Notamacropus eugenii: one gene and its partners. The protein of the gene in region 1 purifies or fractionates together with the protein of each later gene. This does not show direct contact. Links are inferred from orthologs where the notes say so. Each region holds a gene or a part of one and is shown on either strand. Other genes may lie near its edges.

What was found.
Region 2: the proteins of PRPF40A (region 1) and SNRNP70 fractionate together in Homo sapiens (co-fractionation; 3 studies listed by BioGRID, with this or other methods). This does not show direct contact. The link is inferred for Notamacropus eugenii from reciprocal best matches to the Homo sapiens genes PRPF40A and SNRNP70.
Region 3: the proteins of PRPF40A (region 1) and RBM25 purify together in Homo sapiens (affinity purification with mass spectrometry; 5 studies listed by BioGRID and IntAct, with this or other methods). This does not show direct contact. The link is inferred for Notamacropus eugenii from reciprocal best matches to the Homo sapiens genes PRPF40A and RBM25.
Region 4: the proteins of PRPF40A (region 1) and NCBP3 purify together in Homo sapiens (affinity purification with mass spectrometry; 3 studies listed by BioGRID and IntAct, counting the BioPlex papers as one, with this or other methods). This does not show direct contact. The link is inferred for Notamacropus eugenii from reciprocal best matches to the Homo sapiens genes PRPF40A and NCBP3.

What each region holds. Positions count from the first base shown.
Region 1 is NC_092876.1:210,021,947-210,029,689, forward strand, and holds the start of PRPF40A (pre-mRNA-processing factor 40 homolog A), read right to left. Parts: upstream 3,018-7,743; 5' UTR 2,759-3,017; coding exon 2,357-2,758; intron 1,314-2,356; coding exon 1,182-1,313; intron 1-1,181. Other genes in the region: ARL6IP6 (ADP-ribosylation factor-like protein 6-interacting protein 6), read left to right, coding at 3,773-4,196, 6,849-6,917.
Region 2 is NC_092876.1:12,373,675-12,380,659, forward strand, and holds the start of SNRNP70 (U1 small nuclear ribonucleoprotein 70 kDa), read left to right. Parts: upstream 1-3,968; 5' UTR 3,969-4,098; intron 4,099-4,757; 5' UTR 4,758-4,776; coding exon 4,777-4,923; intron 4,924-6,622; coding exon 6,623-6,685; intron 6,686-6,985. UniProt on the Homo sapiens protein: Component of the spliceosomal U1 snRNP, which is essential for recognition of the pre-mRNA 5' splice-site and the subsequent assembly of the spliceosome. SNRNP70 binds to the loop I region of U1-snRNA.
Region 3 is NC_092872.1:293,561,461-293,569,377, reverse strand, and holds the start of RBM25 (RNA-binding protein 25), read left to right. Parts: upstream 1-4,913; 5' UTR 4,914-5,110; intron 5,111-6,231; 5' UTR 6,232-6,398; coding exon 6,399-6,401; intron 6,402-7,917. UniProt on the Homo sapiens protein: RNA-binding protein that acts as a regulator of alternative pre-mRNA splicing. Involved in apoptotic cell death through the regulation of the apoptotic factor BCL2L1 isoform expression.
Region 4 is NC_092877.1:388,341,886-388,349,596, reverse strand, and holds the start of NCBP3 (nuclear cap-binding protein subunit 3), read left to right. Parts: upstream 1-4,708; 5' UTR 4,709-4,723; coding exon 4,724-4,924; intron 4,925-5,028; coding exon 5,029-5,094; intron 5,095-6,456; coding exon 6,457-6,562; intron 6,563-7,711. UniProt on the Homo sapiens protein: Associates with NCBP1/CBP80 to form an alternative cap-binding complex (CBC) which plays a key role in mRNA export. NCBP3 serves as adapter protein linking the capped RNAs (m7GpppG-capped RNA) to NCBP1/CBP80.

The DNA of each region.
Region 1 (7,743 bases):
AAGGAACAGAAGAAGGATCACAGAGTTGTTTTTCCACCACCAAGAGAATTTTGAAACTTATGTTGTTCCTAGGTCAGAAGGCCAATGGCTCAGTTATTTAAAGAGATGCTACAGGCAAAGAGCCAGTCTCTTCGGCCAGATACTTCTGAATAAAGAGTTTTAAACCACTTACTGGTTTAACTATAGAAAAACTACACAGAAGAAAAGTATTTGTGATAAACCTTTCTATTCTTAATTTAAAATAAAAAAAAAAAGGGACTCTTTTTCCTTCCTGGCTGCTATGCAATTTCACTATGAACAATGATCTTTTAACAAATATCAAACTAAACAAAACTAACTAGAGAAAGATCATACTCAGCACCCTTGATTGCCTCCATGTGATATTACAATCTAGATTTCTGATGACTTTTCAATATCAAGACTCTTATGGAGAGAAACCAGCTACTTATATTTCACATAGCATCTAACAGACTTAAAGTATAAATATCAGTCACAATTACTGAATTTAGTTACTCTCCCTGATTAGAACACTACAGGGTCACTGAGTTAGCACTAATGAAGCTTTCTGATACAAATCACTCCTATTTACAATTTATACTAGAGAGAGAAGGGATAGTTCATCAATAGGAGTGAAGAAAATCAACAAGCACTTTCTTAATTCAAAATAAAAATGTCCTACAGAAAATTAGCAATGTGGAACAGGAAAATGCAAGAAGACTGTTCTGGTATCAAAAAATGCGATAACACTCAAATTCTAAGGCAAACACCTAAACAAAGTTGTTGATGTAGGTTTTCCTATTCTTATATACATTTACCTCAGTTGGGTAACCCACAAAAGACATGGTGAAATGAACAGAAAGTTTCTAGATTTGCAGCTAGGGCATAAGACAAAATTGACTTGCCTGAAAAGATCCAATCAGTCAACTAAAAACATAACCTTTAAGCTACCAAAAAACTGCTATTCAAAATGGAAATGATGAGCATTTTTATGTGGACGACAGCCTCAATACAGCAAAAACTCTGGTTACGGACAGAATTCGACATTTCATTTCACTTGAAACCTTTGAATGTGTTTTTGGGGAAATATGAATCTTAGACTCATTTACTAACACTTATCCAAGCTTTAAATTATTTATCACAGTAATGCTACAAAGCAAATATAATTTTAAAAACTGTCTTACTTGTCCCATTGGAGGACCTCCCATAGGGGGCATCATTTGCTGCATCATTCCATGAGGTACAGGTTGCATATTTCCTCTCTGACCCATAGGGTGCATTCCCATGGGTGGATAATGCATGCCAGGGTGTCCCATCTGAAAAACAGTGTTAGTGAAGAAAACATCAATTAACAATAAAGTCTTCCCACCCCCAAAGCATCAAGAATTGTTATCACTGAAGTAAGGTGGTAAGGTATTTGGCAACACTGAGGAACTTGAGACTTAACCATTTATAAAATATGGACTTTATAAGGGAGGGAAGAGTGAGGAGAAAAACTGCCTGTTTATGGATAATCAAAAATGACGAAAAAGAATTAGTATCTTAGTAAGTTACTGCGCTAAAATATAGTATGCCAAGGAAACGAAAAACTCATTTTAAGACCAATTCTGGGGAAGAAAAGAACTCATTATTATTCTGCCTATGTATCAAGGCCGGCTTTTAAATTTTAGACTAAATTATTTTGTCTTACAAATAAATGACGGGTTATTTTAAAAGGTTCAATGAATACTACAAAAGCTACCTGTGGTTGTTTTTCTAATGTCAAACCTGTCATTTCCCCGAAAAATTCTTACTAAGGTAGATCAAAACATTCTGTCTCTCTGAAAAGCTACTTCATACCACTTTCAGCTCTAAAAGTAAATAACTACTGCTGGTTGGCCATTCGGCAAGCTATGTACAAAAAGTGCCATAGAAAGAGTACCTGCTTTACTAAGTTTATAAAATCCAAATAATTTATTTAGGCCACAAAGGTGCCCAATCACACAAAGTAATTACACGCTTAGCAACTCAACCCAGCTTTGCTCACTCTTTCCTTTCTTTCATTACAAGTCACATTCCTCCCTTCACTATCCTGGCCAAATCAGGCCTGCACCCCAAAGCAGACTTCTGCTGCCACCACCCAGCCACCAGTTCTGTCCAGAGCTCCCTCCTCCATCTTCGCCACAGTAATACCCACCTCCCAGGGACCCACAGCCTTTCCTTTGTGCTACTCCGCCCTCCATTTCCCTCCGTCAGAGCCAGATCCCGCCACCTCAGGCCTTCTCCTCCGTCCACCTTTTTTTTTCTTCCCCACAGGGAGAAGGCTTCCTGTTTCTTTTTTTCATTGTGCCGCTTTTCCCCCGCCCCACCGCTCCCTTACCGAGGGCCGTCTCCTCAGGTAGCCGTCCGCAGAGGCCCATGGGCTGGAGCAGAGGCTCGAGCTGGACAGTCTCCGCTCCCCGTTCCCGGGACCCCGCGGTGGAGGGCGGTTCTCCATTTCACTCACCATGAGGCCTCCACGCTCGACTCCCGTCCCCGGCCTCATCGTCGGGCTGAGGCTGCTCCGGCGGCGGCCGCTGCCGCTACACATTCCAACAAGGAGCGATCTGAGTGGCTGGCGCCCGCTGGGGCCAAAGGGTAGAGGCTGCCCGGAGCTGCGGGGCGGGATCAGCGGGGCCAATAAGCTGACTGGCTTCCCCGCCGTCCAATCAGAGCGCGCAGCTTGCACGCAGCTCTGCGGCGATTCGCCCCCGGCCTCGGCCTCGCTCGGCGTCGCCTGCATGGAGGGGGGGAGGGGGACGGAGGAAGTTTCTGCGCCGAGTCCCCCGCCGGGAAAACTCCACCAACTTCCCCCGGGGAAGAGAAGAGTACGTAGGCCCCAGCCTCCCGGGCCTAACAGCCACCTCACCCCGTAGGGGGAGGGGCAGTGGGGGGGCTGCCGCCTTTACCCCCCACCCGAGTTACGCACGCCCCACAAACCTGAGGCCGCCGGGGAGCCAGGAGGGGGGGAAGCAGCTTCTAGCGTTAGCGGTGGCTGGGACAGGATGCGCGCGCGCGCCGCTCGAGGTTGGGCGGGGGAGGGGGGAGGAAAAGGGGAGGGAGGAGGGGAAGAGGAGGGGGCTCGTGGACGCGGAAGGCACCGGGTGAGAAAGCGCGAGACTGGCGAAGCACGCGATGGCCGGGGTGAAGAGCGGCGAGCGTGACGCGGCACTGCGCGAGAAGGGAAGTGTGGAAGTGGGGAGGTTGAAAGCCGAATAGGGGGATGGGAAGAAGCAGTTTAGGCAAGAGAAGAGACAGGCCGTCGCGCGCTAAAGATGCCGTGTAGGCGGAAGACGAGAAAGCCCCCTCGCGTGCCTAAGAGGGGACGACGGAAGAAAAAAGCAGACGGACTAGGGAAGGGGTTTCAGAGGGGTGCGGACGGCAGCAATGGCGGCGGGCGCTAGGACCGAGCGCCCGAATTTGCGGCTTAGGAGTGGCCTGCTGGGCCGTGAGGCACGCGGCTTGCCTGGAGGCTACGCGGTGGTGGAGGCGGAGGTCTGGGGGCTGGGACCCTACACCGCCGGTGGGGGGAGGGGGGGACGCTGTCCTGTTGGAGATGTCTGCTTTCCCCTCCCGTCCTCTTCTCCGTTTACCCCTGCTTCCCTCTGCCTTCCTCCTCCCTCAGTCCCCAGCGTGGGGTTCATTTCTCGTTGCACTTTTCCCGGGCGCTCTTGCGGCCCCCTCCCCATGCTTGGGGCGCTCCCCCCAGGTCTTTTTTTGGTAGGCCCCGGAGAGCCTTCGGGGCGCTAATTGGCTAATGGGGGGAAGGGGGAGGGAGGAAATCCCTGAGCTTCCGGGTTCCGTTGTCCGTTTTCCCGCCATGTCGTTCTTGGCTAGTGGGAGCCGATCGATTCGCCAGCGTGGACTCGGGCCTCCGGCCTCCCTGGTCCTGCCTGCCAACGCCTCCCCCTCCCAGGTTGGGGGTAGCTGGGGGGAAGGCGAGGATGATGACGAGGACGGAGGGGTGGACGAAGTGGTTCGGGACCTGCGAGCGGAGCTCTTGGCGGACACGCCGCCGCCTCAGCTGCAGAAACAGAATGGGGTGACCGTGAGAGTCCCGGAGGCCGCCCGAACTCCCCGTGGCCAGCGGTGGCCGGTGCGGGTCCTGTCGGTGGTCTGTTCTCTTCTTTTCGCCGCCCTCCTTGCCTTCCTGCTAGCTATCGTCTACATGGTCGTGAAAGGTACTGGGACTGCCCGGGGAGCGTGGGGGCGCCGAGCAATGCCGGGCCGACGGCCGAGTGGAGGGGCGTGGGACCTCGGCTTGTCCGTTAGTCAGCTAGTACTTGTCCAGGCACTGTGCAAAGTGCTGCTGGTGACAGAGGCAGAAGGCAGCCCCTGCCTTCAAGGACCTCTGTCTAATACTGGGAAAACTAGATGGAAACGATTCAAGTCTGTACAGGTTAAAATGGGGGACGGTCTCAGAGGAAGGACTGGTAAAGGCTTGTTTGCGGAGGGCGAGTGGGGAGGTGGGGTCTTAATACTCGGATACCTTACCGACCCACTGGTTCAGTCATCTCAGTGTTCTATTCTTTGGGAACCCGCTTGGGATTTTCTTGGTTAAAATACTGGAGTGGTTTATCATTTCCTTCTCCAGCTCATTTTACGGAGGAGGAAACGGGCAGACCGGGTTAAGACATCTCTGGGGAGAGTCTGAGGCCAGATTTGATAGAGCCCCCCAGATACTCACCAACTACTGTCCCAGAGCGATTAAGCATACTGATTTCATTGTATGGAAGCTGCTATTAGCTCAGTTTATTACTTGTCATTGCCATTTTAAAAAATCTTTTTTTATCATCTTTTATGGAAGTCGGAAAACCAATGATATGGAAGTGCTGGAGTTAGGGGCTCTTTTAAAAATGGCAATTCATTGGCTTATACTTCCAACAAATACTTTTCAAGCACTTTCATAGTAAAATTAGTAGTGGAGATCCAGCAGTAGTTAGATGGATCACATCTCACCCTCCACTTCATAATCACCTGCCTCCCTAGGATTGTTTTCCAGTCAGATATACTAACCCTTCTTCATCCTTTACTGCCTAACAATATGATTCCTTCCATAGCTATGCACCCTCCCAGTCTCTCCCTTTTGGTCTTATTTGGGCTCTAGACGGTTATAGCCTAATTAAAACCTGAGCACTATATTAGCTGGTAGTACAACATCAGTTGAAACTGCCCTTCTCTCTACCCCCAGCTGCTGCCGTATTTCAGGCTTTCATCATCCCCTGCTGTTGCAGTAACTTCCTAATTGATTTCTTGTCTCAGATCTCTTTTCTCCAGTCTGTTCTACACACAGTTGCCAAAGGGATTATTATCCTGAAATGCTGGTCTGACCATGCATATCACTCCTGTACTTGGTCCTATAGTTCTGTATTATAGGATCAGATATTATTTCATCATATTGTGAAAATTTTGTAATATAGATAATTAGTACAGTAGCACCTTTATAACTTATAAATAAGTAAATTTGTGTATTAGGGGTAGGTGCTCAAAAATTTTTTTATTGATAAGAGATACAGAATCAAAAAAGTTTGGAAACACTAGTCTGAATTTAGACCATTTATCTTATCAATGTCTGGAGTTTTGTTTTTTTTTTTTTAAATAAAAGGAAGGTAGTACCTACCTACCTTAGTTATGTGAAACTTTACAAGGATTATGTGTACATATAGTCAAGTCAATAAGTATTTACTTTTTGCTATGTCCTAGGGATAAATATGTGGCCAAAAACAGCCCCTTTCCTCAAAGAGCTCATAGTCTGATGGAGGAGACAACATACAAACAACTGTATGAACAGATTGTATACAGGATAAATAGGAAATAATCTCAGAAGGAAGGCTCTAAAGTTAGGACTAGTAAAGGCTTCTTACAGAAGGTGGGACTTGAGGAAAGTCAGGATGCAGAGATAAAATAAAAATGAAAAAAAATCTTTGTTAGGAACTCAATCCAGAATCCACTTTGTCCCCCCTCATTTTGCATGATTCCTAATGGAAGGCATTGCTACCTAGTGTCCATGGTAGGTTTCATACAGAAAAGACAATTTATCATAATGTTTGAAGGATTAAGTTCCACCCCCAAATACTCCTCTGATGTTTCCTGTCAGTGCTGTTTCCTCTTAATGAATTTCCTTATTTGTGGTTAGGGTATTATTATCCCCCTTACAAGAGCTCACAATCACTCTAAACTCATCTTCCTTATCCAGTCAGTTGGCTAGTCATGAAAATTTTTTTGCCCCCCCAAGCTCTTGCATCTGTTACTTGTAATTTTCTTTCCATTGCAGCCATTTGCCTCTTATCTGGCCTATTACAAAGCCTCCTTATTGGTCTTCTAAGCGTCTCACCTCTCAGTCTTTCACAGAGCTGCCAAAGTGATATTAATGAAGCATAGGTCTGACATGTTCCACAAAAGATCATATGCCTTTGAGATACAAAAATACTTCACCTTACCTTCCAGATTTATTACATGTCCTATCTTTCAAAACTCTTTAAATTAGGCAAACTGGCCTCCTTACTGTCCTTTACGTGTGACGTTCTGTCTGTGCTTTTGAAGCTTTCTACTCCTTTACCTCTTAGAAGCCTTAACCTTGCTTAACACTTAACTCAGGAATTCCTACTCAAGGTTTTTTCCTGATCACAACTCTCCCTCATCCTCCAATATTACCTTGTACTTTGTATGTCTTTGTATGTATACCTATTTCACTTACTAGAATATAAGCTTGAGGGCTGGTTTTTTTTATTTTTAAAGTCCAGGTTCCTTTCACAAAGTTGATGAATAAGTGCTTTCTGATTTATTAGGAACTAAATTTTTTTACCAATCTAAACCTCCTTTTGTATTTACAGAATTGCATGCTGAGAATTTGAAGACTGAAGATGGTGTAGAAACTGGTTTATTAGGTATGAACAAAATAGGTAATTGGCTTACCAGATTTTTTGCTTTCTTCCCAGATGTGAAATTTATTGTGCAAATCAAAGTCAGGGGATTAACACCAAATGATAAAACATGTTCTATGAAGGAGTAATAGCATTCAGTCCTAACTAACGTATTTCCTTTCTTTGGTATTTACATCGTATTTGTAAGGTGACTTACACTCATCATGTAACAGTAAATGAATACATTTCTCCTTCCCTAACAAAATAGAAAATTTTATTACTATTCTGTCACTGGATGAGAAGTAGAAAAAGTACTCATTATACTTTTGTATATTTGGATAGAAGTATTTGAGAGAGTAGGTTAAGTTATCAAAGTCTACAACTATTCCCATTTTCCCTAAGGAGTTACTGGCTTTTTTTTCTGCTCTAGCTTCACAGGATCTTTCTAGGCCCTTACTAGATGGCTCTTAACTAGCCGCAAGGAAGTTGATTGCCTTAAACTGTCCTAAATGAGATATGGATAATTTGATTTAGAGCCAAGACAGGGTTAATATTTAAAAAAAAAAAAAAAAACCAAAACACCAACAGCTAGGAAAATCACACCTTTCCCTCCAAATCATAGAAATAAACACATTTTCAATATGTTATCATATAGACAAAGATTACCTCAGCAAGCACAGATTATAAGGTGTCTATTCTTCTGAACCTCAACCTTGTTGGTATTGTATGCAAAACAAAAAAAAGATGACACTTAGTATCATGTAGGAAATTTAGGATCTAAATGCTTACCAGATCTTGAAAAAAAATTTTTTAATCCTTCCCAGAATCATATCTCGGCCTGTTTCCTAGGATTTCTTTTGGCTCT
Region 2 (6,985 bases), about 200 Mb from region 1:
TGGGGGTTAATGGATTGCAAGTGTGATGTGAGTCAGCTGGGCAATATGGATAAAAAACTTCTTGTGATCTTATAACTTAAGAGAGTTGTAGATTTCAGGAATAGGAAGGTGACAGTCCCACTGTCCTTTGCCCTTGTCAGACCTCATCTGAGTACTAGGTTCGCTTCTGGGTACTACGATTTAACAAGGACATAGATAAGCTGGAGAGGTATGAAGGAGGTTAGCCAGGATGGTGAGTTAATATTGAGTCCAACATAAGCATTGGTCAAAGTAACCTAGGATGTTGAACCTTAGAGAAGATTCAGCTGGCATATGGTATTTGAATTACTCTGCAATTGTGGGCTCTTGTGTCCAACAAGGACAGGACTTACTGTTTGATCCTTGAGGGCAGAACCAGGAACAATGGGTAGACATTCTAAAGAGGCAAATTTAGACTTAATATCAGGAAAACCATCCCAACAGTTTGAGCCATGGGCAGTTTCAAAAGGTCCCGGGTCCTTCTCAAAGGTCTGTGAACAGAAGCTTGGCTGCCAACCTCATCCAAAAGAATGGCCTTTTCTCAAACCTCATGTTCCTTGACTTCTTGGCAATCATTGCTAATGCAGATTAGCTTCCTGACACTGCTCTAACCTGGTTCTCCTAGCTGATGGCTCCTTCTTGATTTCTTTTGCTGAAGCTTCATCTAGGAGATTAACCTGTTATCTCCCACAGGGCTCTGTCCTAGGCTCTTTTTTCTTCCTGCTTTATCCTATTTCACTTGGAGACTTCATCAGATCCCATAGATTGAATTATCATCTTTATTCTGCTGATTCCCAAATCAACTTTTTCAGTCCTAACTTCTCTGTTGCCCTCCAGTCTCCCAGCTCCAATTGCCAATGTACATGTCAAACTGGAGTCCTGGAGACACCTTACCCTCAAGATATCCAAAATGGAATTCATTATTTCCCACCCTCTCCATCTTCTCTTCCTAACTCCTCTGTAACTGTCCAGGTACCATCATTCTCCCAGTCAGCCAGGCTTTCAACTGTGGTATTATCCTCACTTCCTTAATCTTGATGTCTTCCCCCATAACCATGTGTTGCCATGATCTGTCAATTTTACCTTCACCACCTCTCTTGTAGTACAGGCCTCCTTCCCACTTCATTCTGACACCACTGTGGTACAGACCCTCAGCCCCTTATACCTGGACTCTTTTAAAAAATATTTTATTTTCCTCCCAATTACATTTAAAAAAATGTTTTTTAACATTGGCTATAAAATTCTGAGCTCCAAAGTCTTTCTCTCCCCCTCCTTCCATTGAGAAGTCAAAGAATTTGATATAGATCACGCAAAACATATTTCCATGTTAGTCATGTTGTATAAGACTACACAGACCAAAGCAAACAAAAAAAAAAAGAAAAGAAAAAGTATGCTTTGATCTGCATTCAGACCCCCACCAATTCTTTCTCTGGAGGTAGAGAGCATCTTTCATCCTAAGTCCTTCAGAATTGTCTTGGATCATTTTGTTGCTGAGAATAGCTAAGGCATTCACAGTGGATCATCATACAATATAGGTATTAACTATATACAATGTTCTCCCGGTTCTGCTCATTTCCCTTTGCATCATATAAGTCTTTCCAGGTTTTTCTGAGAGCATCTTGCTCATCATTTCTTATAGCACAGTAAGTAGTATTCCATCACAACCACATACAAAAACTTGTTCAGCCATTCCCCAATTGATAGATGTCCCCTCAAAGTTCAATTCTTTGCCACCATTAAAAGAACTGCTATAAATATTTTATACCTGGCCTCTTGAAATAGCCTGCTGACTGGTCTTTCTCCTTCAGATCTTTCCCCAGTCCAGTCCTAAAAAGCACAGGTCTGACCATGATACCAGCCTACTACACAAACTCCTGTGGTTTGCTATTACTTCTAGGACCAAATATAAAATATTCTAGTTAGTAGTTAAAGCCCTTCAGAAGCACCTCTTCCCCAGTTTTTCCAGTCTTTTATATCTCATATCACCTCCCATCCACTCTTTGATCCAGTAAAACCAGCCTCCTTGCTGTGTTCTAACAAGACACTCTATCCCTGCCTCCACCAACCGACTTCAGGCATTTTCATTGACTCCCCTTTCTTGGTTTCCATAAGAAGCCTCTGCTGTTCCTTCTTCATTCTATTGACTTCCTCTCTGTTGGTTGTCTCCAGTATATTGTCACCAGATTGTACATAATTGTTTGCATCTTGTCTCCCCTTTTAGACTGTGAGATCTTTGAGAGCACGCTTTTTAAAAAACTTTTAGTACATAATAGAGGCCGCTAGGTGGCGCCACAGTGCACAGAGTGCTGGGCCTGGAGTCAGAACTGTCCTCTTGAGTTCACATCTCAGACGCTTACTAGTTGTGTGACCCTGGGCAAGTCACTTCACCCTGTTTGCCTCAGTTCCTTCTTCTGTAAAATGAGTTCTAGAAGGAAATGGCAAACCAGTCCAATATCTTCGCCAAAAACCTCCTCCAAAACAACGAAACCTAAACGGGGTCATGTAGAGCCAGACACGACTGAAAAAACGACCAGACGACTGACAAGCAAGCCCTTGATAAATGCTGATTGACTGGGTGAGCCCGGACATCATTTCACTTCCCTGTGCCTCAGTTTCCTCATCTGAAAAACTGGAACAAGAGCACCTCCTTCACAGGACTGCTGTGATCGAGTTAGTCCAAAGTGGAGGACTTGGCCAACGTTAGTGATACATGAACGTCAGATAGCAGTATTACTCTTCACAGCCCAGCACCTAGCACAGAAAGGGCTCACAAAACGCAGCCCATGAGAAGCCTCCAGCCTGCCCTGCGGTCCTGGGAAGGCACACCGCATCTGGCCGTGAGCTTGGTCAGATCCGTGCTGGGTGAGAGCTGTGCCAAGCGTGGGCCTGGGCAGAGCGTGCCTGGGGGGCTTCGGAGGAATCCCTACTGTGCTCTTGCTTTTACTTGGAAATAAACCTCTTTGGGAAAGAAAAGGAGAGATCCTCCGTGTCTGCTGTCTCCACTAGGTGAGAACACTTTGATTGACTCCCACCATCCCCTGGGGCGTGAGGAAAGCCTGTGAAGTTCTGGAGCTCTGGAGGCCCTTATGCCCAGGACATCCGGGGCAGCCCAGGGAGGGAGAGCAGCTCTGCTGGAGTTCTGGGATCATCAGGGGATGCTTGGCTAGAGACCCAAGGACCAGGGGGCCTCTTTCCCCCAGGCTACCCCCTGGCAACGTTCTGGGGCCGCGACCCTGGGGGGCCTGGGGCTCTCCGGAGCTGGAGGTCCCGCAGAGAGCAGCCCGGCCCCGCCACGGGGCAGCCCGGGGCTCTGAAAGGGACCCCAGCTCCCTAACGCCCAGAGGGCGCCCTTGTGGTGTCCCAGGCTGCACAGGCTTTAGTTTCGTCGTTCCGGACGGATCGCGGCCCCGCCCTCCGGGGAACGTGACCCTTTCTTTCTGTAAAGCGGGGCTGGACTGTACTGGATGAGTGTGTCACGTGGAGGACTCTTTTCTTGGTGAAAGGACACTTCTGGTTGCGAAGAAAGGTGTGATTCACCCAGCTCGCGGAAGGCGGCGGTTGAGCGAGTACGAAAGAGGGCGAAGGAGAAAGCAGCAGGCGCATGCGCCCTGACAACGTTGGCCGGGACGGGGAAGGAAAAGGGCGAGCGGAGGACGATCGGCGCGTGCGCGCTGGACTCTTCCCCGGCAGCCCTCCCCGCCCCAGTCGATTCTGCGCGTGCGTACTGGTTCGCGGGCGCGCAAGGATCTCGGCGTGGCCCCGCCTCCCGTCGGCCCCGCGCTCGCGCCAAGTTCTCGCGAGACCCGCCTCCCTTGGTCGGTGCGTCTCTCATCGCCGGGCCGCGCTGGTGCCTGTGTGAGCCGTGACCGGACGGACGGGCAGAGTGACGGAGTGACGGAGCGAGCGCCCCGGAGCCGACAGCGCTGCCGGCCCCGCCGCCGCCCCCGGCCTCGGCCCCGACGCGCCACGAGGCCCCCGAGCTCCAGGAGGACGACGACGAGCCGCCGCCGCCGCTCTTGCTGCCGCCGCCCTCCCCGGGAGCCCCGCCCGGCCGAGGGGGCCGCCGCCGCCGCGCGGCCGGTAAGTGCAGTAGGCCGGCCTGGCGGCCGGGGCCCCGCTGGTTACCCACAACTCCCTGCGCCCGCCGGTACCCCCCCCCCCTTACCCACAACTCCCTGCGTCCTCCGGGGGCACCCCCCCCACCCGCACCATTCTGCACCCGCTTGTCCCCCCCTTACCCATAACTCCCTGCGGCCTCCGGGACCCCTCTCGCTACCCATACGTCTTTGCGCCAGCCGGTACATCCCGCACCTCCTTCACCCACAATGCCTCACGGCCGTCGGGGACCCTCCCCCTTGCCCCCTGAATCCTCTGGGACCCTCCCCTTGTACCCGGGGTGCCCTGTGCCCGTCGGGACTTCTGCCCAGACCCCCTCCTCACGGATCTCGGCCCGCCAGCCCCTTCCCCGCCCTCCTCACCCGCGTCCCCCTATGTCGCAGGAGCCCCCTCCTTTACCCAGAGCCCTTTGCGGCGCCGAGGCCCTGCTCTCACCCTCGTTGTCGTTGTTGCCCACGTTGGGCCCCCTAGAACCCCGGGAAAGCCCCTCGTGGGAGGTGGGCCCGGGGGGCCTGTCACTGAGGGTCCCTGCGTACCCCCGGAGGCTGGGCCCAGCGGGGAAGGGAGGTGGAGGCCAGGTGCCTTTGTCCCCCAGACTTGTGACCGCCATCTCCTCCCTCCAGACCCTGTACACCCGGCATCATGACGCAGTTCTTGCCTCCCAACCTCTTGGCCCTCTTTGCTCCTCGAGACCCGATCCCCTACCTGCCCCCCCTGGAAAAGCTGCCCCATGAGAAGCACCACAACCAGCCCTACTGCGGCATTGCCCCCTACATCCGGGAGTTTGAGGTGAGTACTCCCACCACCCCTTTCCAGGACTGGGCCCAGACCCAGGCAGCGGCAGGAATCCCCTTGGGGGCAGTCAGATCACTGGGTTCCTTTGGAAGAATTGGGCTCAGCTGGTCCATTCCAGCTCCGTGGGCATCAGCAGGCTGGGTGCTTCCGTTGTGGAGTGAGGGGGCTCGGCCCCTTCTGGTAGTGATGTTTGGAAGATCTGAGGGAATGCCTCAAGTTTACGCCGAGGAGTTTTGTAGGACTGGCAAAGGGCAGAGGATGGGCAGAGAGCTGGGTGCCAGGGAGGCTGACTTCTCTTCACTGCTGTGGAATGTGACCAGAGGGATGGTTAGCAAACAGCTGAGACCCCTGAGTTTGCTTTTGCTGAGGACAGACAAGAAAACCCCTCTTCCCTTTGTTACAGCCTTAAGAATGTGGCGGTTTAGAGAGTGCTGTAGGTCTAGTTCACTTAGATTTCAGCAGAGCATTTGGTGAGAGTCTCTTCTGTAATTCTCCTGCTAAAGGTGGCACGAGGTGCTCTTGAAATGAATGCACTTGTATGTGGTCAGCACTTGCTGAATACCAGCCCCCAAGGGTAGTGCAGAGGAATTCTTTTTGATCCTGGAAGGAGGCCTTCAGTAGGGGCCCCTTGGAGAGAATCTTCACCAGTGAGGGATTCAATCATTTCTGTTGGTGCATTGCTAACCATGTTTGCAGGTGACACAGAGCTAGGAGGTAGTGAATGTATTGGGTGACAGAATCAGGAACCAGAAAAAAAATCTTGATAAGCTAGACTATTGGGGCTGGCCAAAGTAAGATGAAATGTTGTGGAGGACAAGCACCAGGACTTGAATTGACTTTCATATGCACAAGATGAGAAGTAGGTGTTGTAGAAAACAGTCCAGAGCGAGGTGTTAGGTAACCACCCCCACCCCTGTGGAGCTCTGTGGCCTAGTCTTGGGGTCAGCCACTTAGGCAGGTGATTCAGGTCGCCTTGTCCTCTGCCCGAGTTCATGAGAAGTGAAGATTTAGGGAATGTGGTGGGTTTCTCCCGGCATATGAAGGACTCCCTCCCTCATGACAGAAGGGAGGGCAGAACCCCGAGCACTGGGTCAGAACAAAAGTAAGGCCTCTGGAGGCTCACCAGGGAGCAGAGGCTAGGCAGCCACTAGGGGTTGCTGTAGTTATGGGCATACTGATCACCGAGGTCCCTTACTAACAGTCACTAGGATTTCTAATGCACTTTAGGGTTGGCACACATCTTTACAAAATTTATCTCATTTGATTGTCACAACAACCCAGGGATGTAGGTGGTCTTATTATTCTGTTTGACAGATGAAGAAACAAGGCCGGAAGAGTTGAAGTGACTTGCCCACTGTCATACAGATAGCGTCTGATACCAGACGTGAATTGAAGTTTTTTTGACTCCAGGTCTATCCCTCTCCACTAGGATGCCCTGTGATTGAAAGTAGAATTATAGAGAGTAGTATGTCAGAGCTGGTAGGAAACTTAGAATACCAGTGTGGCAAGCTTGCTTCACAGCTGAGCAGAGTTGGGGGGAGAGAGGGAAAAGGTGGTGGTCAGACCAGGTGAGTGGTGCTAAAGCAGGAAGGGGGTTTGGGGATAGGGTGGTAACAAAGGTAACTTCCTTGGCAAATCTTTGTGGTGTCTCAGTTTAGTCCTGCTACTTCTTAACCCCTTTTTTTGTCCTTAGGACCCCCGTGATGCCCCTCCTCCAACCCGAGCAGAGACGAGGGAGGAGCGGATGGAAAGAAAGGTAGGGGACTGTTTGGACCTGGCAGGAAGAAAGGAAGGAAATACAGGCTCTTCCTCATGGAGTTTTGGGGTCCTTAGAGGGAAAGGTTGGGGTCTGTGTGAGTGAGGCAGAGGTCACATCCAGCTATGGGGTAGAAAAGACTTTGGGGTTGGTCTTTGAGCTGAGCTGAAGGAGTACTTAGAGAGTGGGCAGACCTGTGAGGAAGAAGACCTGTGTTCAGGGGCTAGTGCGGTGGCTACCTTGGCTGGAGGAAGTTGGCTCACACCATATCACAGAGTCTGAAGGGAGGGGACTTTAGGG
Region 3 (7,917 bases), on another chromosome or scaffold:
CCCAAGGACATGTCTTTCAATTTAATTCAACAAACATTTATTAAACACCATTTAGTATGGGGCAGGTGCCTGGGATGAGGGTACAAAGACAAAAATAAGTAAATAAATACAAAGTACACATATCAAGTAATATAAAGTGATTTCAAAAAGGAGAGAGTGCTAACAACTTCTGAGGGAGAGAAAGCAGGAAAGGTGGGACCCAGCAATGCTTTGGAGGAAGCTAGGATTTCACCAAGGAAAGCTGAAGACAGCACATTCTCGACACAAGAAAATCACTATGCAAACATAGAGAGGTAAGAAATGAATGTAGGGAACAGTTAGCAGGCCAGTTACATTGGAATGGAGAATGTGTAAAAGGGAATAATATAAATTAAGACTGGAAAGGTAGATGGGAGGCAGACTAAGGAGTTTTATATTTTATGCCACTGGATATTCCTGAGAGCTAGAGTATATGATACAGCCAGATGCATGTTTCAGAAATATCAGTTTGGTAACCATGTGGAGGATCATGAGGGGAAGAGACTTGAAACAGGGAAAACCCAATTGGGAAATGATTGCAATAATTCAGGGGAAAGGGGATGAGGGCCTAAACTACCAGGGCAGTTTTGAGTAGATCATGTAGCAGATGCGAAGGCAGGGAAGAAGAAAGGAATGAGCATTTATGTAGCTGTTGCTTACTATGTGCAAGGCACTGTGCTAAATGCTTTTTACAAATATTAACTCATTTGATCCTCGTAACAATCTTTTGAGGTAGATACTATTATTATCACCAACTTACATTTAAAGAAACTGAGGCAGGCCAATTAATTGCCTTGCCCAGAGTTACACAGTTGGGAAATGTCTGACACCAGATTTGAACTCTGGTCTTCCTGACTCCAGGCCCACTGCTCTATCTACTGTGCCATAGAACTACTTCCAAAATTTGGCAAATTATTAACTACAGAATAGTCAATATAGAAAATTGACTTCCTATAGAATAGGAAGACAGAAAAGACAAAGAGGAATCAGGTTTTGAATATGGATGACTCGAAGAATTGTGGCACCACCATAATAATGGATAAGTTTCTAGGAAGGATAGGTCTGGTAGGAAATGTGAGTTCCGTTTTGTAATGTTGAGGGTGAGGAGCTGATGGGATATCCAAGTGGAGATTTGTAGGAAGAAGTTTGTAAGAAGGGCTAGATTAGGACTTGAGATGCAGATTTGGGAGTCATTTGCATAAAAATGATAAACTGATTGCCAAAAGACAAAGATCATAGAGAAGAGGGAATTAGAGCTTTGGGGAATTCACATGTAGGGTTCGAAGAAGGACTATGAAGGAGCAATCAGACAAGGAGAACTGGATGAAAATCAAGAGAATATCTAGAACAAAGATTCTTCACTTAGGGTCTATGGGATTGCTTTATTTTGATAACTGTATTTAAAAATATTTGATTTCCTTTGTAATTCTATGCATTTTATGAATTTTAAAACATTCTAAAGAGGGTTCCATAGGTTTCACCGGACTGTCAGAGGGGTTCATGACACAAAAAAGGTTAAAAACTCTTGATCTAGAAGAAGAGAGTAGTCAACAGTAGCAAATGCTGTAAAAAAAAAAAAAAAGGTCAAAGAGGAAGAAGACAAAAAAAAAAAAATCACTGAAATTCATGGAATTTAGAGTTGCAATGGAACTTGGAAGCCAGTTAGTCCAGGTCATACTCAAAAGGAGTCTCCCCTAAAGCACATGTGACAAGGAGTCATCCAGTATTTTACAGAAATATTCTAATGAGGGGGAATCTAGCACCATTCCAAGGAAGCCCACTCAACTTTTGGAAGCTCTAATTGTTAGAACATTAAGCTAAATTTGCCCCCTGGTAACTTCCACCCATTCTTTTTGATTCTGCCCTCTGAGGCCAAACTGAACAAATCTAATACTTTTTCCACAAGGCAGTCTTTCAAATACTTGAAGACTATCATATCCCGACTTGAGTTTTCTTTTTTCCAGGCTCAACTTTCTCAGTTCTTCCAACCTCCTACAACATATACTTAAGGACATTTACCCTGTTTATTCCCCCTCTGTATGCTCCTTGACTTATCTTTATCTTTCTTCAGTAGTGGTACCCAAAACTGAACAAAATATTCTAGATATGATCTCACTAGGGCAGACTATAGAAGGGCCATCACATCCTTATTCCTAAAACCTACTCTCATGGAGCTCAAAAATGCACTAACTTTTTTTAGTTGCCTCATTACATTGCTGGCTCCATATTGAGTTTGTAGCCCATGATAATCCCCAGATCTTTTTCAGAGAAACTACTGCAAAGCTGTCATCTCTTCTCTATCCTGTACCTGTGAAATTTATTTATAAAATGTCACTTTTGATGTTGGAAAGGAGTTTCAACAGAAACTGGGGGTGGAAGCCAGACTGCATGGGGAGGAAATGGATGAAGAGGGTAAAACTGAAAGTAGAGTGTAGATTACTTTTTCTGCTAGATTAGCAGAGAAGAGGAGGGATTATGTTATATAGCATAGTTTCTTGGAAGAATGGCAAGGTCAAGAAAAGGATTTTTTATGCCAAGGAAAATTTAAACATGTTTGTAGGCATTAGGGAAGGAATTAGTAGAGGAAGAGATTGATCAATGGAGCAAGGTTCCAGAGTAGACAGGAACAGAATATTTTGAAAGATGCCAAAATAACTTTTCTAAATTACAAGTCTGGCCCCAGTTATCTTTTTTTTTAATCAATCCATCTTCGAGAACTATCAATGGTTCTTCTTTGTCTCTAAATGCAAACTCTTTATATTGGTATTTGAAGTCCCAAATTATTCCTCTTCACATATTCTAAGTTCCAGTGGTTTATTTGTTAATCACTCCCCAAATTTAACATTCATCTTCTATTTCCATAACTTTGTACAAACTGTCTTCCATGCCTATAATGTACTCCCTCCTTAACTTTATCACATCCTTCATCAAATTATTAAATAATCAATACTAGTATTCTTCTAGCAGAATGTAAACTCCTTGAGATCAGGGACTGCTTTTTGTTTTATCTTTGTATTCCTATCATCTATGAGTGCCATGAATTTAGCAGATACTTAGTAAATGCTTGATGGATTGGATTAGATCAAAAGTATAAGCAATAATTGTTCTTGTTTGGTTGTTTCAGTAGTGTCCAAGTCTTCAAGACCCCATTTGGAGTTTTCTTGACAAAGAAACTGGAGTAATTTGCCATTTCCTTCTCCAGTTCATTTTAGAGATGAGGAAATAAGGCAAACAGGGTGATGTGACTTGTCCAGGGTCACAGAGATAGTAAGTGTCTAAGGCCAGATTTGAACTCAGAAAGATGTCTTCCTTCTTCCAAGCCCAAATGAATATCAATCACGATGATAAAGGGTGCTGGGTCTTGTGATGGTGTGGCATGAAGATTAGGTGAAAGAAACAAGAATGTTTATCCTGGAGAAAAGAAGATTTGGGTTGTGAGTCAGGGATGACAGAAACTGTCTTCAAGTATTTTAAGGTTTGTAAAATTGATTGGCACTGGAGAGAAGAACTAGGAGCAACAGGTCAGCAGAAAACCTGGAGGTTGGGTTAAAAACTTCCTAACAATCAATTATTTAAAAATAATTCTAGTTTCCCATTCTCTGCTCCCCCTCCTTCATCCTTCTGTCTCTGGGCCCTAAGGAGCAGAGTCCATTTCGTGTTAAATACGGGTTGGACAATTCACATCCCAGTTCTAAGTAAGCCAATAAAGATTAGATACAGCCCCACCAAGGGGAACATCCTAAAAGAGAAACAAATGATTACCAGATCTTATACAAATTGTTGTGTTTGTCCTTCCTTCTCCAAGAGGACCATGACATCAAGATGATGACATGACTTGCAGTTGACTTTGATTTGAGTAAGGGAGGGCTGTGCAAGGTCACCAATCTCACTTCCTTCTGCTGAGCCATCTGGGTCCAGCGGCCTGACATTCATCAGGAGGACTGGAGATGGCCCAGGATGCAATGGGAGACCCTGGCCCTTTCGGGTCTTATCCCATTCTCACTTTGAGTGATATGCAAATATCACCTTTGTGGTAGAAGACATTGATCTTTCATTTCAAATACTTATTAGCTTCTGAATCAGGGAACATTAAATTGAACCTTTCAGTCTTCCAGGCAACTCCCTGGTTGGGGTCTCTCTGTAATGGGAGAGGGCCCCAGTAGAAATCACAAATCAGATCAAACCCTTACCAATCCCTCCTCCCCCCATGACCCTCTTCTCCACCAAAATACCCCAAGTGAGCTCACTCAGAAGTGACAAGGGACAGCACCAGAGTCTGGCATTTTGGCTGGCCTGTGGTAACAGAACCCGGCCCTATGGCCCTCTGTCCTGACAGGCCTTACACAGCTGACCAGGGCCTCCAAAATCCCTTGCAGCTTTGATCCCCAGATGGTACTAAAGTCCTCTCTCCTGGTTTTTCCTTTTCTTCCTTTTTTTCACCAACCACAATCTGGGGCAATTCTTGTAGAAGAAACATCTGAAAGTTGCCAAAATTCCAACTTCCGGTTGGGATCGCTGGCTTCTTGGAGTCCAACCTCGGGGGCTATCAGCAACCCCTCCTGCGTAGAGAGTCCCTGTTTACGAAAAGAGAGTCCGGGCTTCGTCCAAATGCTCGACGACCTAATGTCATGCGTAGTAGGAGGCTCCTTCGGCAGGCAACTCATCCCTTCGGCCACCTTGACCTCAAGATGGCGTCAAGGCGTCGCAAACGTCAATCGGCCCCAAGCAAAGATGGCGGCGAGCGACGGAAGTTACCGCCCCCTCGATCCGGGCCTTTCTAGCCTTCCCAGCCTTCTCTATGATTATCCGCCTCCTGCGTGTGAGGCGTCGCTCAACGGAGGCGACTCTTGAAGGCGCTCTCTCTATGGTTCCCGCCTCCAATTCTTTCGGGCCGCAGTGCACGCCGGCCTAGCGGAGGACGTCCGAGAGCACCCCGCGCAGCGCGGCTGGCTCTGCGGCCTATGCGAGCAGGCAGGCGCCTCGGTATCAATCACACGGGCGAACGGCGCGCAGAAACTCCGGGACCGGCTGCGGCCACTCGTAATCCGGAGCCCTAGAGGCCGCAAAGACGGTACCATTTTCTCAGCGGCGGGTGAGTGGGCTTCGCGGAGCGCACGGAAGGGAAGGGGAGGGGAGCAGAGCGGGGAGAGGCGGGCTGGGCCCGGCCCGGGAAGGGAGGCAGGAAGGCGGGCGGCGGCGAGTGTCGGAAAGGGCCCGGGGACAGGAGAGGTAGACGGGGACCAGGCTTGAGGACGTCTCCGCCTCTACCGCCTTAAGCCAGCGGCTCCGGCTCGGGCCAGGCAGCCCCCGTGGAGACCCCAAGCTTCCCGGCAGGGCTTTGCAGCCCCTCTGGCCTGGCGCTGCCCGGCCCCGCCGCTCCGGGGCCCGGCTGCCCTGCCACGAGGAGGTGGGTGGGCAGGCACCCCACCCCCCGCCCGTCCCACCCCAGCCCCTCCGCTTGCCCCCCCCACGCCCTTGCAGAGTGTGTGCCCGCAGCTCCCAACGGCCTGCCTTGCTCAGCCACGGACCTGAGCCCCACCCCCATCCTGCCCTCTCCTCCTTCCAGACCCCCACTCCCGGCCCGCCTCCCCCTCCTCGCTCCCCCGTGGACGCCTAGTGTTACTCAGCAGGGCCGTGTGTGAGCCCTCAGGGTTGATTTTGAATTGGCAGAGTTCTGCCCTTTAAACTGCACTCTGCCTGCCATTCATTCTGGGCACCTGCCATTCTCCAAAATGTCCTGAGGTTTGACCTCCCTCGCCCCCCCCAAAAAACCCCTTTTTTTCGTTTCCTCTCCCTCCATATCTCCTCTCTTCTCCTTCCCTTTCTTTGGTCTGGAGTCTAGTGTGACATCTTTAAATACTTAAGGCAAATAAGTATGCGTATACATAAAGGTGTCAGTCGATATTAAGTGCCTACCATGTGCCAGGCACTGTGCTAAGCCCTGGGGGTACAGAGAAAGGCAAAAGACAGCCCCTGATCTTTGGCAACTTACAGTCTGATGGGGGAGATAACATGCATACAACTATAAGAAGACTGGTTCTGAAGTGGTTGTAATGTAAATTTATAATGGAGAGATTTTGGGCAAAGTGTGAGGTGGACAAAAAAAAAAAGCCAAAAAGTGCTTCTCTCCTGGGCTTGTTTTCTTAGAATCTTAGGATTTTAGACTTGGAAGGGAGCTTAGACATCATCTAGTCCAACCTCTTCATTTTACAGATGAGGAAACAGAGGCCCAGAGAGGCAAGTGCCTTGCCCAACATCATGCAGCTAGTTAGTGGCAGAGCTGAGACTAGAGGCTAGATCTGCTGACTCTGTCTCCTCTTTCCACTACACCAGCTCCTGGACCTGACTGCCACAGTAGGATGAAGTAATATGAATAAAACATGGTAATATCAAGTAGTTGTTAATGTGGGAGGGGACTCTTCTTTCAACAGAAAAATAATCAATGAAGGTTTTTTAAACATTATCTTGACATTTTGAGTTTTTAAAAGGTCATATTGCAAGATAATCTAAGCTCCCCGAGAGAATTCAGTAGGTCATCTAGACCCATCTTCTACCATTCCGTTCCTTAAGTATCTCCAAGAAAGAACATAATTTCACTGTATTCTTGACAATTCAATTGGTAGTCTAAATAGACATTTTAAAAACAAATTTAACATCCTTTATTTCCACGTTTGGAACTTATTGCTGAACTTTTTTGTGTGTGTCCTTGTTAATGTTGCTTTTTGGACATGGGGGAGGGAGTAAAAGATGGAAAAGGCTAATTTTTTTTTTCCAATTTAGTTAGTATTCACTTAGCATGTAGTCACTTGCTTGATTTTGGAAACACAAAGGCAGAAATGGAGTATTCCCCTGTCCTCAGTGCATAAGCTTTGATATGCCAGCTAAGTGTAAGGAACTTATGCTAATTTGTGGGGATTGAGAGGCAAAAATGGAGTGGTGCTTGCTGTCAATGAACTTTTTAGAAAAGACATGTGTGACTGGAAATATAATAATGTTAATAATATAACAATAAAGAATATATGCAAAATTCATATAATGTAAGTTAGGGAGGAAGAAAACGGGGAGAGTGTGTGAAGGAGGGGGATGAGAGGATGAGAACAACCTAGACATTTCATGTAGAAGGTGGGTCTTGAAGAGAGCTAGGAATTGGGGGGAGTGGTGTTGAGAATGGAGTACATTCCAGCTAGTGCAAACTTGGGAAAGTGGAGGTGTCTTGTGAAGTATAGGAAATTGGCCAGCAGTGTGTTTGGAGGGGAGTAATGTGGAAGAAGACCAGAAACTGGCTCAGGTGGGATGAGCTTTAAATGCTAGAGGATCCCAGAAGCAACAGGGAGTCAATGAAGTTGACCCAGTAAAGGTAGTGCAAAAGAGTTTATATTCTGCTTGGGAGATATGAAGAGCAGATTCATCATGTTAACAGATAAGTAGACACAAGGTAATTTGAGGAGAGAAGAGGGGTAGGGATGTTTGTGTAGGAAATGGGACCTCAACTGAGTCTTGGAAGGAAGGTTATACATTTCACTAATCTCATAGGCATGGAAAATGATCTGAGAGGTCATTCACTTAAACTCAGTAGTATGGATTTTGAGATGTGGAGATGAGGACAGTGTAATCCAGGAATGAGGAATGATTTACACAAATATAATGGATAATATGTTAAATTTGGGGAATAAACAGCTAGTCTTCCAATTTGGTTGGAACATAGAGTGCACAAAGGAGAAATATGAATTGTCTGGGAAGACAGATTGGACTGAGGTAATGAAGGTTTTAAATGCCAGGCTAAGGAGTTTGAATTTTACCCCTAGGTGCAAAGAGCAAATGATTTGGACAGTGAGTGTTTTGAACAATGAAGTGACATGGTTAGGTCTTTGATTTAGAAAGATTGTTTTGGCAAATTCG
Region 4 (7,711 bases), on another chromosome or scaffold:
AGCTGCCACCCCCAGCTGGGAATTGATGTCTGGACTCTTCACACCTTTTGGCTGTTCTGGGTTTCCATCCACTGGGGATAACCAATACACAGACACAAGCAGGAGAGGATGCTTCAAGAGGACAGCAGGCCTCCGCCTGGAAGGAGGGAATCAGCACCTGGAAATGGCTGCCTTGGACCAGGTACCTGAGAAGTCACCCGGGCTGAGAGGAGAGATCCTTAGGGTGGACTCCCCCAAGGAATGGGAGGGCAGCAGCCAGGACAGGACATGCTCATTCACTGAACGCTGCATTCATGAATTCTCAAGTTTGAGAACACAAAGACTAGAAAGAAAGGGAGAGACAAAGACAGACAGACAAAGACAAACACAGAAGGAGGGAGACAAACACAGATAGAAACAGAGACAAACAGAGACAGACAGAGAGAGACAGAAAGAGAAACAGAGACAAATGGGGGGGAGACAGAGAGAGAGGGAGAAACAGAGAGACAGAGATAAAGACAGAGATACAGGGACACACACAGATAGAGACAGAGACATACAGAAAGAGAGGGAGAGAAACAGAGACAGACAGAGACAGAGAGAGATACCAAAAGATAGAGACAGTGAGAGAGATAGAGACAAACACAGAAAGAGAGACAGGGACATACATGGAGATAGAGACAGAAAAAGGGACAGAGACAAATAGAGGGGGGAGAGACAGACAGAGACAAACAGAGAAAGAGAAAGGGAAAGAAACAGATAGATGGAGACAAGGAGAGAGAGACACACAGTGAGACAAACAGATAGAGACACACACAGATAGAGACAGAGAAAAAGACAGAAAGAGGGAGAGAAAGAGATAGACAGATGGAGACAGAAACACAGAAAGACAGAGAGAGCCCCAGAAAGATACAGACACACAGTGAGAGAGAGAGAAACAAAAACAGAGAAATAGACACAAGGACAGAGACAGAAAAACAGAGAAAGAGAGAGGAAGAGAAACAGACTGACAGAGATACAAGGAGACAGAGACAAACAGAGAGAGAGAGGGAAAGAAACAGAGACAGACACAGAAAGAGAAACAGAAAGACAGGATTGGGCAGACAGGGACAGAGAAAAAGAGACAGACACACACGCAGAGATAGACAGTGATAGAGACAGAGAGAGACAGACAGAGAGAGACAGAGAAGTGGGGATGGCTATACATATAAAATTAAAAGGATTAATTTTGTACAGATATTTAACAAGAATAAATTAAGGAGACCAAAGACACCCTAAAAATCACCATTGTCATCAAATGCTTGGTCTACTTGCCAATCAGAGACTGAGCAAGCCAAGGCAGTGCTGCTTTAGGCTACAGGGTATCCCAAATTTTTGGTGCTATTTTAAACCATTCATTAAAGCTGGTGGCTATTAAAGCCACCGAATCCTAAAACAGCTCTACGATTCTGGGGTCAACTCACTTGTAAAATTCCATCAGAATTTTCAGTTGCCAAAATGGTCAATTGGTGGGAAACATTAATGAAGGAAGTCAGTCAGTCAATGAGCATTTACTAAGTAAGGATTATGTGTCAGGGCTGGGCCAAGCACTGGATATACAAAGCAGGGCAGAAGACAGTCACTGGCCTCAAGGAGCTCACAGTCCAAAGGGGAAACAATGCACAAAAACTCATGTCCATACAAGATGAAGTGAAGACAGTCACCGGTGGGAAGACACTAGTGTCAGAGGGATGGGGAAAGGCTTCCAGTAGTAGGAAGCCAGGGGGGTGTAGAGGAAGGAGAGCATTCCAAGTATGGGGATGGCCATTGAACACATCTGGAGTTTGGAAATGAATCATCTCATGTGAGGAACAACCAGGAGGCCAAAGTCACCAGACCACAGAAGACATTGCCAGGCAGTCTGAAAAGGTAAGAAGGGACCAGGTTGTGAAGGACTTTGTCAAACAGAAGATTTTCTATAATATGTAAAACACATTTATTTTTAGAGATATCTAATTTTATCTTTATCATAAATGTCTATTTTACTTATTTTACATGTCACCCAGAGGCAGTAGGGAGTCCCTGAAGTTTATGGAGAAGGGGGTGTCAGGATCAGAACTGTGCTTTAGGAAGATGACTGGTGGCTGAATGGAAGATGGACTGGAGTTGGGGGAGGGGAGGATGAGAGCAATACCCAATTATTTGAAGGGCTCTCACATGAGAAAGGAACTAGACTTAGAATACAAAAAGTAGAAGCTAAAGAGAGGCTAATTTAAACTTGATTTGAGTTTTTAAAAATTTCTAACAATCAGGGCTATCCAAAAGTGGAATTGGCTGCCTCAGGAGGCAATGGGTTCTATTTCATTAGCCATCCCTAGGCTACTGCAATAGACCAAGTGTGAGGAGATGAGGGACAGTGTCAGAGGAGAGAAAAGGGGCTATCGGAAAGACCGTCCAGAGATGCTCTAGAGGTGAAATTGGCAGGCCTTGGCACTACATTGGATCTAGGGGGTTAGAAAAAGTGACTCCATGTTGAATCCTGGGTTGTGACCTTGAGGGACTAGGAGGACAGTCATAAGGAATGTAGGAGGAGGGGAGGGTTTAAGGAGAAAGAGAAGTTTTCTCCAACATTTTGGGTTTTATATGTCTGCTGGATGTCCAGTTTGAGATGTCTGGAAGGTTATTGGAGGTGTAAGATTGGAGTAGAGCAGAGAGACCTGGGCAGATTGGAAACCTATCAGCACAGAGATGGCCATTGAATCCAAGAGAGCTGATGAGGTTTCCAACCGAAGTAGGAAAGGGGGAGAAGAGAAGAGGCCCGAGGACAGAGCCTCATGGATCTCCCATGGTTGACCTGGATGAGAATCCAGCCAAGGAGACTGAGAAGAAGCAGTCAGATGGGTAGGAGGAGAAGCGGGAGTCCTGAAAACTGAGAGAAGGGAGTGTCCAGGAGGAAGGAGTGATCTACAGTGTCCAAGGCTGCAGTGGGCTTGTTGAAGTAAAGGATTCATGATGAAAAAATGCGATCCACCCCCAAAGAACTGACCAACTCGGAGTGCAAATTGAAGCATCATTTTCTCACTTCATTTTTTAAAAGATATGGCTAATCTGGACATACGGTTTGCATGGGTTCACACGCACAATTGAAATACGGCTTCCCTTCTCAGTAGAGGGAGGGAGGGGAGGCTTTGGCAGCGAAGAGGTGACTGGGGAGAGTGGTCTGGTGCAAGGATGAGACTGGAAGCTGGATCGTTCAGGGGTTAAGAGAGTGGGGAGAGGAAGCGGAGGCAGCCAGTGTAGACGCCTTTTCAGAGTCTGGCCACAAAGGGCAAGAGAGGAATGATGAGAGCGAAGCTGGAGAGATGACAGCCGCCAACAGGAGAACCGAGATGGGAACGCAAGGGGAGCATTAACAACAGGGCAGCCGCGGAGAGAAGCCGAAGGGAGGCTGGGGATGGTCCTGGGTAGCGGCCCGGAGGCCGTTTGGGCCAGCGGAACAGTCACGAGGCAGCCCCCCGCGGCTCGGTCCCTCCGTTGCCACGATCGGCGGTTGGGTGTTATCTGATTTTCTGCCATGCGGAGCCCCCTGGTGGGGGCAGTGTCAGAGCCGGCGGAGGCAGCTGGGAGTGGCTGGACCGGACCGGGGAGAGGCTGGCGGCAGAAAGGACACTTGGGTTTTAGGGGGATGGATTAACAGAGTCGAGGTAGGCTTCAAACACTTATTCAGCGATCCAATTCAATAAGCACGTATTAGGCGCCTACTGTGTGCTAAGCGCTACAAATAAGAAAGACAGCGCCCGACCATCGAGCGGGGGGAGACAATACGCAAGAGGGAGCGGGGTCCGCCCGCACCGGACCAAGAGGAGCCGCAGACGGAGCCCCCCTCCAGGACCTTGAGGTGGGCCGCCAGGAGCCACCCAAGTCAGTCCACTTCACCAAGCGGGCCCCACCCATCCCTTCCTGAGCCACACTCCTGGGCAGTGCCCATCCCCAGGGCTGTGATGCCCCTGGTCTTACCCTCCTTGTGCCAAGGCTCCACGGCCCGCACAGCTTCCCTGCCCCCAGCCCCCAGCCCCAGCTCAGACTCAACCCCAAACCCTGAGCCGTCTCTCCATCCCTTCAGTGGCTCTGGGGCTCTTCTGGAGGCCTGTCCACTTGTGGGCATGCTTTTAAAGGATCACAAATTTGGGGACTTGCGTCAGCCCCCAAGCCTTCTGGGTGTGGCAGTCCCGTCAGACCGTCAGACCCTCGAGGGCAAGGCGTGGAGCATACAGCAAGGGCTTCATAAATGCTTAAGGAAACACAGTCCAGGCCGTGGGGGCACCCGAGGTGCCCGAGCCTCCGGCCACTTAGGACTAAAGGACTGTCTCCAGAAGGCCCCAGTGGAGGTGGGGGGAGGAGGCCCTGGGGGGAGGAGGCCCTGCGAGGCGGAGGAGGCCGAGGGGCCGCGGCAGATGCCGAATGCCCCCAGGCCGCCCCGCCCTCCCTCCCTCCGCTTACTCCGGAGGGAGACAGGCGCAGGCGCCGGAGCCGGGAAGCCGTAACTATGACAACGGCTCCGCCCCCGAAGCGGGCGGGGGCGGGGGCGTCCTCTGGGACGCTCTAGGCCGGGCGGGCCGCATCTCGATGGTACGTCGGCGGCGCTCTGGGCGGCCCGCTGCCTCTCGCTGGTGCGCGTGCGTACGTACGGCGGCGCCCTGGGCGGCGCGCACGCGCTCTCGCTGGCACGCCAGGAGGGCGGGCGGACGGAGGCGGCGGCGGGGCCATGGCGGCCGTGCGCGGCCTGCGGGTGTCGGTGAAGGCCGAGGCGGCGGCAGCGGCGGCGGCGGGGCCCCACCTGGGGCTGCTGGGGCCGGGCCCCGAGCGGGGCGAGCCCGAGCCCATGGAGGTGGAGGAGGGCGAGCTGGAGGCCGTGCCAGTGCGGCGCTCGCTGCTGCCGGTAGGACGCCGGGGGTCCGGCCTCCGGGTGGGTGCGCCCCTCAGAGCCTGCCGCCGGGCGCGCCGGGGCCGTTGGGCGGCAGGGAGCGAGGGCCGGGGTCGGGGTCCCCCTCACCGCCCGTCTCGTTCTAGGACACGAGCCGCCGCTACGAGAACAAGGCGGGGAGCTTCATCACGGGCATCGACGTCACCTCCAAGGTAGGGAGGAGCCCTGGAGCCGGCTCACCTGGCTGGGGCTCCCGGGCGGAGACTTTGTTGCTTTTGCCCCCTCCCACAATGCACCTCTTTCTGTTGGGGATGGGGAGCCCAGCCGGAGTCTGTCTACACCCGCTTACGTTGGAGCGGCCAAGGGCTGGGGAAGGCTTCCTGGAGGAGGCCGGGCGGGCGGCGGGGAGGGGGGCGAGGAGGAGGAGAAGGCAGAGCTTTCCAGGCAAAGGTTCGGAGGCGGGAGATGGAGGGGGTGCCACAACGGGCACTCGAGTTCCCATTCTGCCCCACTGGCCAGCTGGGGGACCAGGTCAGTCAGGTACCTGCCTCTACCTTGATATCTCCTCCTGAAAGACAGATCAGGTGAGGAAGCTTAAGGAAGCACGTGCCCAGGTCCTGGCACACAGTAGGTGCTTAATCAGTGCTTGTTCCCTTCCCCCCCCCCCCCCCCCCCGCGGGGTTTGGAAAGGGGAGGGGCTTCCCCACCCTCCTGGCCCCAAGGGTTCTCCTTCCTCGGGGCTCTCCCCGCCTGTAAAGCAGCCCCCATGGGTGAGCCCAGGCTGGTGCCGATGGTCCCTGGCCTGAGAGAACTGGGCTCCCCCCTTGCCCTCTCCCCTCCTCCCCCTCTTCCCTCCCCCTCTTCCCCTTCTCCCTTCCCCCTCCCTCCTTTCCCTCTCCCCTCCTCCCTTGCCCTCTCCCCTCCCTCTCCTTCCTCCCCCTCCCCCTCCCCTTTCCCCTTCCCCTTCCCCTCCCTCCCTCCTCCCCCTCTCCCCCTGCCCCCTTGCCCTCTCCCCCTCCCCTCTTCCCTTCCTCTTCCTCCAGCTCTGCTGGCCTGCCTTGGCCTCAGTGTCATGGGGCCTGTGCACCTGATGCTGTGACATTCAGAACCTACCTCACCTTTTCCTCTGTCAGTCACTTACTAGTGTCCGGCTGGGGCTTGGCATGGGATAAGTAATCGGTAGGTGGGTGTCCAGGTCTTGCCTTTTGCTCAGGACCAAGTCCTGGGCTCTTTGACTGTCCTCTGATAACTCAGGCCACCTAGGCCCCTGCTCCCTGAAAGCTCTGCCCCCTCCCCCACCAGCCTGTGGGGACTCCTGTCCTCCTCACTGACCCAGGAGGCGACATGGCCCACTGTCCAGACCCGAGCATCCAGGGGCCTGGCCTCCTGCACTTGGGAGTGGAGAGGAGGGAGTTTCCGAATAGCGTGGGAGATGAGGTCAAGGGTCAGACTTCATGCTCCCTGCCTGGCCCACCACCAGAGGGGCAGGGAGGCTGAGGCCGGGGGGCTCCGAGTCTCAGCCTCCGCCTTGGCCTCGACCCATCTCATTCTCTGGGGTTCCTCGTGCTCTTTAGGAAGCTATCCAGAAGAAAGAGCAGCGAGCCAAGCGCTTTCACTTCCGAGCCGAAGTCAACCTTGCCCAAAGGAATGTGGCCTTGGACCGAGACATGATGAAGAAAGGTAGGAGACCCCCCACCCCCACCCCCAGCCGAGAGCTGCAGTGAAACTCAAAGGCGTCCTGACGTTGAACCAACCACACTACTGAGGGAAATGAAGCTGGTTTCTGTCTGTCTTGAGGAGGGTAACCTCCAGGCACTGTCACCAATGGAAGGGACCCAGGAAGGCCTAAACTACTTATCTGAAAGTCTGCACTCATCCCTCATTCCCCAGCTGGGAGGGTGTGAAAATTGGGGCTGTGGCGTGAACCCCTGGGTTCCTGCCAGGGTTCCCTGCGATGACAGCGCTAGGTCTCCCTCTTCTTAAGACTCCAGAAACCAGTGACTCCAAATGCCTCCCCTGTGTAGATCTAGACCGTACTGGGTAATCCCTCCATGTGGGTCTTCTTGGAGGTGCAGATCCTTCCCAGCCCACCCAGACCTTCCTTCCAGGTGCTCATGGAACATGTTGGGGGATGGGCTCCTTTGGATCTCCTGATCTCCTTGAGCCACACATAGATCCCTACATATTTCCCTCTTATTGAACAAGTCTGACAGGCTTCTCCTTACCTAACTTCCCATGGTTCTGACCTCACTTGAGCCAAAAGATGAGCCTCAAGGTCACTGATCTAGAGGGATGTGTGAGGAGCCTGCTGATGCCCTCAGGAGACTGGGGACCACATCCAAGGCTTGAGCCCCAGCAACCCAGACCTGGGCTGCCCCCTTCAGATCTAGGCTTTGATTTTCTCCCCTACCTGCTCCAGGTAAAATAAGATGGGGGCCTGTCACCAACATGCCTGGCCCTCTCACCCCCCAACCAAGCTAGTACTAAGGCCTGTCCAATTCACCACCTCTTGTCCATTTTACCTCTGCGCCTTTTCTTGTCCATTCCCCCCCACCCCCCACCATCTCTTGTCCATTTTACCCCCTGCACCATCTTTTGTCCGTTTTACCTGCTGTACCATCTCTTGTTCATTTCACCTCTTCAGCATCTCTTGATTAAGCCCCTTCCCTTATCACCTCATGCCTGAACTATTACAGTAGGTACTGGTGGGTCTACCTACCTCAAATCTTTCTCTGCTCTAGTCTGTTCATTCACCAAAGTGATCAAACTCCAGTGATTCCCTAATGTATCAAATAGTAAACACTTATATTTGGCATTCAAAGCCCTTCA